2 linked regions of the Daphnia pulex genome follow. The protein of the gene in region 1 purifies or fractionates together with the protein of each later gene. This does not show direct contact. Links are inferred from orthologs where the notes say so. Each region holds a gene or a part of one and is shown in the gene's direction. Other genes may lie near its edges. The genes, in order: tyrosine-protein phosphatase non-receptor type 9-like and leucine-zipper-like transcriptional regulator 1.

Region 1 (4,580 bases):
TTTGTTGTCTTGTCATCGGCCTTTGCGACAGCAAAAATTAGACAGCAGGCATATAGAACGGAGGCAGTAAGCCTAAGAGGACGCATTTTGTGAGGAACGTTTGCCGACAAGATGGTCAATCAAACTAAATTACAATGACACGAGCGTTGACTGAGCTAGGTTAGGCTAGCGTGTGCAAGACTTGCCAGTTTTCAAGTCGGTGATGTGGTATTTTTCTATTGGTTATCACATTTCTTTCTGTCTGTCAGATTTAGTTGCAAGTATGGTCGCTTGGGTTCGCTTTGATACTGGTTCTGACAGCACGATTTAAAAAAAAAATATTTTAAAACAAATTTTAAAACAACTAGCTAATAGATGAACAATTTATATTTGTTGTCCTAAATGATAGTAGATTTTACTCATAATCCATTGGCATCGAAGTTAATCACGCAACATTACGGTCTTAACTCCTAACAAAATAAAGATATACGCTTCCTTGTTTTAGAGAATTAGCCTACATTTGTTACAAGTGATGAATGTGCATACGTATACAAAAGCGGTCAAGCAACCAGGGCCAAGGAGAAGTCAGTTGATGGGCTCTGAGAGAGTATGGCTGCATTATTGGTTGGAAAACCGAATTCGCGTGCGAACTCAAAAGATGCTAGTTTGATAAAAGTGGTTTATGCTAGTCTGCTTTATTTTTATTGCTATCAATAAAGAATGGCGCTGGATGACAAGAATACAAATTGTCTAATTTAAAATCGTTCAGACAGTAATAAAGTTGATCGTTATCGATCTGTCGCCTGTCGGATGCAAATCATTCATCTAGCAAGAAGATACATGATGCGTGCATGCACGAAGAGGAAGATCGCTGATGCGGATATTGTGAAAGTGGTGTAAAAGGCGTAAAAGTATAGACAAGAATGCTGCATCTGCGTTTAGATTGCGTGTGAGAGACTTTTACGACGCGCTGAAAAGTTTTCTATCTCGTTATCTCCAGAAACTTTTGAGTGGGAACTGCACCAAGATTACAAAACAGTCCCCTTTTCATTTTCTGTCGTGTCTTTTTCTTTTTGTAACACTGTCTTATGATATTGCCGGTCTGGTTTTTCACTTGGCCACATTTTTGCTCTCCAAGAAATCTGGAAACTTATCACAAGTTCTACTTCTCGTCAGTTTCAAGGGAGAGAAATAAGGGGTGCGCATATAAGAAGAGGGCGAGAAACATGAGCCTGGGAGTTTAACTGTACCATTTCCGTGTGTGCGTGGAAAGGTCTGTCTAGTCATATTTATTCCCATCTTTGTTTATTCATATTAATTTCATCCACTACTACCCAACGTCTCTGGTTGCTTCCTCTCCAACACCAGATCTACAATGTCCTGATTGATTTTACCCGACAGCTTCTTTTTTGAAGCTTTTATCACGCCGTTCTACAGGGCGAGACCTGATAAAAAAAAGGCAATATGAGCTAGTTCGAACAATCGATTACCTACTAATCTACCATTAAGAGTAGACTAGTCAGATGACGGACTTCTCAGAAAGTCGACTACATCATTCCGAGAAACATGGGCGTTGAGAAGCAAGTGCTGGCATACCATTCATTTCACATTTGTTGAGCAATTATGATTTATTTCCTTCTTAAGTTTTTTTTTTACCATTGTTAAATTCTATTTTTTGATTTTGTTGTGTCCATATGACCATATTCCTCTTCCGCCGTGCAATAAATGGTTAGTTTAGTTGAATGAAGTGAAGAAAACGTACCCTAGATGGCGCAGAGAACCAACAAAACGTCGCTACTGTAATGACCAATGCAGTTGAAGGGCAGCTGTGTTGGTGGCGCTTTTTCAAGTGGTGGCTAGAAACACTAGAGTCGCTATCCCCCCACAATTCAGTCGTATTCAAAATGGCTGACACGACACTGTCGGCCCAAGAGGAATTGGTAAGCCAATACATTTTTTTTGCTTCATAATCCTCTTCCCTCACCCGTACTGGTTACACTCAACTCGTTTTGTTGCGTCACGTTCAAACGTCTCCTGTCAACACGTGGTCGCTGCCAATCACCTGTAAAAAAAAAAAAGAAATCATTTCGTTTTCATTGTTGAGTAGTTGCTAGAAAAGAATCGGGGAGGGAGCACCCCTTGATCGGTGTGTGCTACCGCGGCGCATTGGGAAAGCCGCCCGTGGTATTATAGTGTGTGTTGGGCAGACGCCTCCACAGTGCGTTTTTCCCCTAGTGTGTTTGTGTATGTTCGTGTCTTTTTGGGAGAATCTACTCCACACCCACATTTTCGCGATTTCCCACTCGTTAAGGTATCAAACGTGGTGTGTGTGTTCATTTTCAATTCCTGGAAGAAATCTTCTTCTTTTGACCCTTGTGTGCGTACAACGCCCAAAATTCATTTTTGCCCATTTCAGTTTTTCTACGAAATTTCTTTTCGAATGTTTACCGTTGTTTTCCAAGCACATTGCATACGTCATTTTCGTGGGACCTTGAAACATCTTGAACCGATAATCATTAATAATAGGGAGGCTGTTTTGTGCATTAAAAATGGGAATTTTCGTCTGCTGTGATTGTCAGGGACGGATTTCCGCCCTGAGCAAATTTTTGTTTCTTATTCAAAAGAGGCAGTGAAAAGAACTGACCAAAAGGGAGAAACCCAAGAATATTCGTTTATTCTCCTTTTTGTGTTGCCAGTCTAGTGGTTACCTCATCACTTGCATCCGTGAAGCAATCGGATACTTTTGTGCGTTGAAATGTCCAGTGTCTGAAGTGCAGCTAGAGAGAGATACCACTGAATTTTTTATTGCGAAGAGGAAATGACCGGAAACAGTTTAGCAAAGGGTGTGAAATGTCTTGAAATTTTGAAGGCGCTCATTTCGTATGCATAGGCAACTAACCGACTTTTTGGCCGGAAGTTGGGAAAGAGAAAGGAAGGAAAATTAGAGCGAGGGGAAACAAATCTCTCCCTCTCTCCTGCTGTTGTCGTCGTATTTCTGGCCTCAATTTGCGGCGCATGTGCAAAACACGTGTTGCTCCTGCGGATGCTTATATTAATAAAAAAAAGAAGGAGGCTAAGGGAAAAACCGGCGGATGTTTATTGATTTCTTGCGGATTGGACATTGGCAAAAGACCCAGGGAATGTATTTTTGGCGCCGATGCCAACAGCAAAAAAAAAGGAAAAATGATTGGGGGATACAGAAATTGCTTAGTTGCACGCACACACAACACCATCCGTGCATTTCTTTTTCCTAGCTGGAAGAATCACCACTTGACGGGCGTAGCGAGTCGACAAGATGAGGAAAAACAAGTGTGTGTGTGTGTTGGTTGGAGCAACAGGAAAATGGCTGTTGTGGCTCTTTGTAGTTTAGGATATTCGTTTGATGAATATTCATGTTTCAAACCCGTCCTGGTTGTGAGCAGATCCGGGCTGTCTCTCTCCTTATTTTTCCGTCGTGTCTTTTTTATATATTTTGTGTTTGATTCAAACAAAGACAGGGTGGGGACTCTGCCAAAATTCCTCTGTCGTCATCAGATTTTGATTTTCTAGGAAAATGGGGACCATCTGCATTTCGTCTGGCACGAAATATCAAAATTATTTTTCTTCTTTTTTTTCTGAAATGGCTGCAGTATTCAAGTGGGAAACCCTCGAGGGGAGGTGGGGGGTGTTCCAGGTCGTTCACAGTATCGGCCGATCGGTTTCCGAGACGTCTTTCATCAACAGCACAGGAAATGTTGCCGTTGCAAACAAGCTGTATATATTGTTTGTCTCTGGTATTATTCTCACATTGTGTGTATGTGTCGGTATTGATCTCTTGTTGTTTTCTCTCTCTCGTTATCTTTTCGTTCGTTCGTCACGGCTGGATCTCTCATTCTCACGGACAGGTGGTGGCACTGTCGCAAGGAGGAAGGATTTTCTATTATTTGTTGACGGGGCCATACGCTTGGAACCTTATCTCGTCAACAATAGTGCGACGCACAATCCGTTTTTAGAGAAGATGACGTCGACCTCTGAGTTGTTGACGAGCCCCAGTTTATCTATCGTTTCAATCCAGGAAACAATCCGCAAAAAATCGAATATCGTAGCTAGAAGTCCAGGGTGTATAATTATAACCAGGTGAAAATCCTAAATCCCACGTTATTTTCTCTCCCTTGACTATTTTCTAGAGCCATGTGGGATTTGAATGAATTTACGCTCCTCTAGGCGATGTATCATGTAGATCTCGTAGACCCAGGGAGAAATTGGTCAGGCCCTTGTGGTAGCCGAGAGAAACGGAGGCCGCCGCCGCCTGCTTATTGGACGCTCGGGTCTCTTGTTTCAGCTTTGTTACGTCACGTGACCAGTGCGTTCAACTCTTCAGGTCCAACCGAGCGTATACCAACCAGAAGGCAGAGAGAGAGAGATATGCTGCCAAGGGGAAAAAGAGAAATAAAGAAATAAAGAAAACCCCCCCCCCCCCCCAACTCTCTTTTGCTGGGTTTCCAACTTTAGTAGTTGCCGGTCGAGGCGTTCCAGCGGAAGCAAGGGATTGTCAGTCGTTGATTAAACGGCCCGTCTGACGCTCTCTCAAGGGTCCACTGCACTTTTGACGAGACACGGTG
Region 2 (4,500 bases), on another chromosome or scaffold:
CTGAACGAAACAGGTTGCACAAGAGAGACCTGCTTCATTACTAGCGCGTTCTTCGATACAACCACTGGCCAGGAAAGCATAGCGCCACCTAATTATCTCTTCCTAACATCTTTTCCGAATGTCGGCAACTTGCAGATGGCTTCTGTTGAGGTAATTTGTTTTCCTAAATGGGAAGTCTGCTTTCTTTGTATGTAGAATAATGGGATAGAAATTCATACAAATGGTTTTGTCTGGCCGCGATTCTAGGTCGTCGATGTGAGCAAAGTCTATGTTACTCAGAGATCCGAGTGGACGGTGAACATTACTTTGGCTACCGATAACGTTGCCGCTTTCGTCTGGATTGATTCTGGCACTTACTGCGGTACGTTTTCCACCAACGGATTCATGTTCTACGACCGCTTCAAGACTGTCAAATTCTACTCCAAAACTGAAATTGTCGACATTGGTAATTTCAAAAACAATTTGAATTTGATTCACTTGGCTCAAATTATTCTATGATTGTGGGCTGAACGTGACTATAATTTCTTCCTATCTTTACTTGTATACTATTCTAACCAGAAAAGTAATATAATTGTACCGGAAAAATCAGAATTGTTGATTCAAATTAATGAAAAAAAACTGAAGGTTTCGTGCTTTCTTAGAATTTGATTATCGAGTCGTGTTTCGGGGTAATTGATTCTACTTAAGATAAAAAAAAGCCCGATTGATTTATTTTCTTTTAAAATCTGTATCAAAGAGAGAAAAATTATTTTTAATTTGCGAAATTCGTGATCGTTTTTGGTATGTCGAACCGGAAACGAAAAATACAGTTTCGTAGTTCGTACAACGTAAGTCTGATCTTTGATTCTCGATCAAAAAAATGTAACTAAAAAATTTTAACAATGCCGAGATTGTTTTTCATGTTCAGACTGTTGTACAGTTTTGACTTTGAGAGAAGAAATAAGGGACTTTGGTCGCTTGAGGCTACCGCCAGTCAATTACGACAATAAATTCTACATCCTAGATTCAAAAAGGAAACCTTGATGATTTTAGATAGTTGATCTTCCGTTTTGTTGTCTTACATAACAAAACAAAAATTAATGGCAACATACTATAGAAGGAAATAATCAAAGCTGGGCATATTCCGGAAAATATCCCCTATTTTTTTCTTAAATTTTGGGCTTGGATAGCCCGATGTTAGCTATGGGATAATGGAAATTAGGACAGCCCGTCTGAAAATAGTAATATCCGAATTAACATTACGATGGTGCCCTCAATATAGTAGCCAGATTTTATATGAGACCTCTGTTTATGAGCATTCGTATTGTTCCATTCAGGCAACTTGCGGTGACCGACAGTTTTCAGAAACAAGTAATATGTGGCTTTCTGACGAGATGGAAGTGCAATAATAGTGCATGCATGGTCTTAACAGTAATCTATCGCAACGTACGTACCATGCCAAATATTACGACTTTTCAAGGAGCAGTTGCTGGTACGTCTAGAGGAATACATTTGTTTTACGTGATGGTAAATTCTCCTAGGGATCCTGTAATGGATTTTTTTTTTTTTGCAGTTTTCAAACTTACTCTTTTTTCACAATAGATGGCGAGTAAAATTATTCTACTTGTTTGGTCGTCTGCTTTGGTAACACCAAGGACGGTAAGGAGGAACACAACAGACTATCAACATCAGTATCACCAACACTACACACAGGAAACCAAACATTCAGAAGTGACTTCCTGTCTAATATGTCAAGATAGATATTAACGTGGATTTAGATTTTCAGTCACAATGTCAGATAGTTTTACGAAGATCGGCTTTGACCATAATTGGCCTGAGTCAGCTGTGTCCCTTACTCTAGATTTGGGTCCATTTGAAACTGTTCACAAATGGAAACGCATGCCAGACTGTGATGAATTTGTCGGTTTCAAGTAAGAATCATTTTTCCAACTATCTTATATGTATGGGATAACTTATGGTTAATCTGTTTTAATATCATTCACAGACGGAGTAAGCACACTATTGTAGCACACAAGGAAGCCATCTATGTTTTTGGGGGAGATAATGGAAAAAACATGCTGAATGATTTACTTAGATTTGATGTAAAAGAGCAATCTTGGGGAAGAGCATTTTCTACGGGAACCCCTCCTGCACCACGCTATCATCACTCTGCCGTGGTAAGTAGCATTTCATTAATTCATAAAAAAGTGTATTCATATAATCTTACTCTATACATCACAAAAGGTACATGAATCATCCATGTTTGTCTTTGGTGGGTACACTGGGGATATCCACTCAAATTCTAATCTAACGAATCGAAACGACTTGTTTGAGTATCGTTTTCCCACTGGCCAGTGGGTTGAATGGAAGTTCATTGGAAAGTAAGGATATATTTTTTACTACATATTTTTTTATCTTACATAATATTTGTTTCATAATTCACATAGAACTCCCGTTCCTCGTTCTGCTCATGGAGCAGCTGTTCATGGCGGTAAACTTTGGATATTTGCAGGTTATGATGGAAATGCTAGGCTAAATGACATGTGGACTATCTCTTTGCTCCCTGTAATATATTTTCGACTTTTCATAATTTATCTTAAACTTAGTTTGAACTGGAAAAAATTATCTAATGAATTCATCCGGTAAAAAGGGTGAGCCACGAACATGGGAAGAAGTTGTTCAAATTGGAGAATGTCCCCCTACTTGCTGCAACTTTCCAGTTGCCGTGGCACGCGATTCCATGTTCGTGTTTAGCGGTCAAAGCGGAGCCAAAATCACGAATAATCTCTTCCAGTTTCAGTTCAAGAGTAGATGGTAAGAGGCATGCTCGAAATCTAATAGCAATTTCTCGTATTCTAATTTCGCTAACTTCCTAGCTGGACACGTATCACTACGGATCACATTTTGCGTTGTGCTCCTCCTCCACCTACTCGACGCTATGGTCATACCATGGTATTATTATAGTTAATTTTCAGTAATAAAAAAAAATTATTGAGAAACAATTATTTGTAGGTGGCTTATGACCGTCACTTGTACGTGTTTGGCGGAGCAGCTGATAGTACTCTTCCAAACGATCTACACTGGTATGTGTCCCTGATATTCCTACGAATCTAGACATTTCTCATATGAATCACGAATAATGAATGTTCTCTTTTATAGCTTTGACTTGTGCACTCAAACTTGGTCAGTGATTTCACCATCTGCAGATTCCCACCAGATTCCTTCTGGTAGATTGTTCCATGCAGCTACCGTTGTCGGTGACGGAATGTAATTTTTCATCAATTACTTTATGTATTCAAAACATTTGAGTCCAATTCTATTTAAATGTTAAAATTAGGTATGTGTTTGGTGGCACAGTTGATAATAATGTTAGAAGCGGAGAAATGGTTCGGTTCCAATTCTCAAGTTATCCTAAGGTAAGATTTTTCAAAGTTAATGAATTTTTTAGATCTTTTCTGATTTTGACAAATGTATTTTTACAGTGTACGCTTCACGATGATTTTGGTAAATTGCTTGAGACGCGGCAATTCTGCGACATCGAATTTGTTGTTGGTCCCGATGAAAATCCCGTTCGCATACCTGCTCATGTAGCCCTAGTTGCTGCACGGTCTCAGTGGCTCAGAACTCGAATTCGTCAAGCCAAAGAGGCTCGCGACAAACATTTAGAAAAGGTTATTAACATAATCAACATTTTCTTTGGAAATCTTTCATAATTCATTATTTTTTATTAGGTTTTTGGTTCCTCTTTCGTACCATTCAAAGATCTTCCACTACTAGAAGTTCGTTTAAAAGATGCCGTTCCAGAAGCATTTGAAATGATACTGAACTTCATTTACACTGGTTTGTATTGACAAATTTCAACACTTTTATTATATGATTCGTGTTAATGTTTTATTACTTGGTTTATCGCCTCATTCTTATTAAACAGATTCGATTGATCCTACATTGAAAAGTGAGTTTGTTTTATGATTATTGATTAGCGTAACGTGATTTAACTATTATTCACTTACTTTTGCAGCGGGGAAGGAACCAGCAACTAGCAACCGTGTTGTGCTGCTCATAATGGATGTTTACAGACTCGCTGTTCAGGTAATGTATCTTATATGATGTAGGGTTGGAAAAAAATTTTTACCTTACCATTACTTTTTTGTAACCTTAGTTTCATATGCGACGACTGGAGCAGTTGAGTGTACAATATCTAGAATCGATTATCAATCACCGTAACGTTTTGGCAGCATTAGCTAATGCGACAACCCTTCGTTTATATTTTATCAAAGAATTCTGTCTACGCTTCGTTGTCAAGGAATCAAACTACAATGCGATCGTTATGAGCAACGAGTTTGAAACGTTAGATCAACCTCTCATGGTTGAAATAATTCGGCGTAGACAAGTGCCACACGTTCGGGTTCCAGTTGAACCTCAGTTTGATAACACAGGTATTTTGTGGTAGTTCTTATATTCTTATAGTTGTTTTATTTTTTCTTCTTTCAGGCACAAATCTTGAACAAGACATGGAAATGT

What was found.
Region 2: the proteins of tyrosine-protein phosphatase non-receptor type 9-like (region 1) and leucine-zipper-like transcriptional regulator 1 purify together in Homo sapiens (affinity purification with mass spectrometry; 3 studies listed by BioGRID and IntAct, with this or other methods). This does not show direct contact. The link is inferred for Daphnia pulex from reciprocal best matches to the Homo sapiens genes PTPN9 and LZTR1.

The regions. Positions count from the first base shown.
Region 1 is NC_060018.1:4,169,378-4,173,957, forward strand, and holds the start of tyrosine-protein phosphatase non-receptor type 9-like, read left to right. Parts: upstream 1-1,775; 5' UTR 1,776-1,781; coding exon 1,782-1,919; intron 1,920-2,091; exon of another isoform or gene 2,092-2,290; intron 2,291-4,448; exon of another isoform or gene 4,449-4,580. Other genes in the region: peptidyl-prolyl cis-trans isomerase B-like, read right to left, coding at 1-86. UniProt on the Homo sapiens protein: Protein-tyrosine phosphatase that could participate in the transfer of hydrophobic ligands or in functions of the Golgi apparatus.
Region 2 is NC_060017.1:2,283,118-2,287,617, reverse strand, and holds the start of leucine-zipper-like transcriptional regulator 1, read left to right. Parts: upstream 1-1,615; 5' UTR 1,616-1,653; intron 1,654-1,686; 5' UTR 1,687-1,770; coding exon 1,771-1,910; intron 1,911-1,984; coding exon 1,985-2,156; intron 2,157-2,223; coding exon 2,224-2,360; intron 2,361-2,426; coding exon 2,427-2,544; intron 2,545-2,629; coding exon 2,630-2,793; intron 2,794-2,855; coding exon 2,856-2,931; intron 2,932-2,991; coding exon 2,992-3,062; intron 3,063-3,138; coding exon 3,139-3,246; intron 3,247-3,316; coding exon 3,317-3,395; intron 3,396-3,461; coding exon 3,462-3,650; intron 3,651-3,710; coding exon 3,711-3,819; intron 3,820-3,907; coding exon 3,908-3,931; intron 3,932-3,997; coding exon 3,998-4,068; intron 4,069-4,138; coding exon 4,139-4,415; intron 4,416-4,470; coding exon 4,471-4,500. Other genes in the region: beta-mannosidase-like, read left to right, coding at 1-150, 247-498. UniProt on the Homo sapiens protein: Substrate-specific adapter of a BCR (BTB-CUL3-RBX1) E3 ubiquitin-protein ligase complex that mediates ubiquitination of Ras (K-Ras/KRAS, N-Ras/NRAS and H-Ras/HRAS).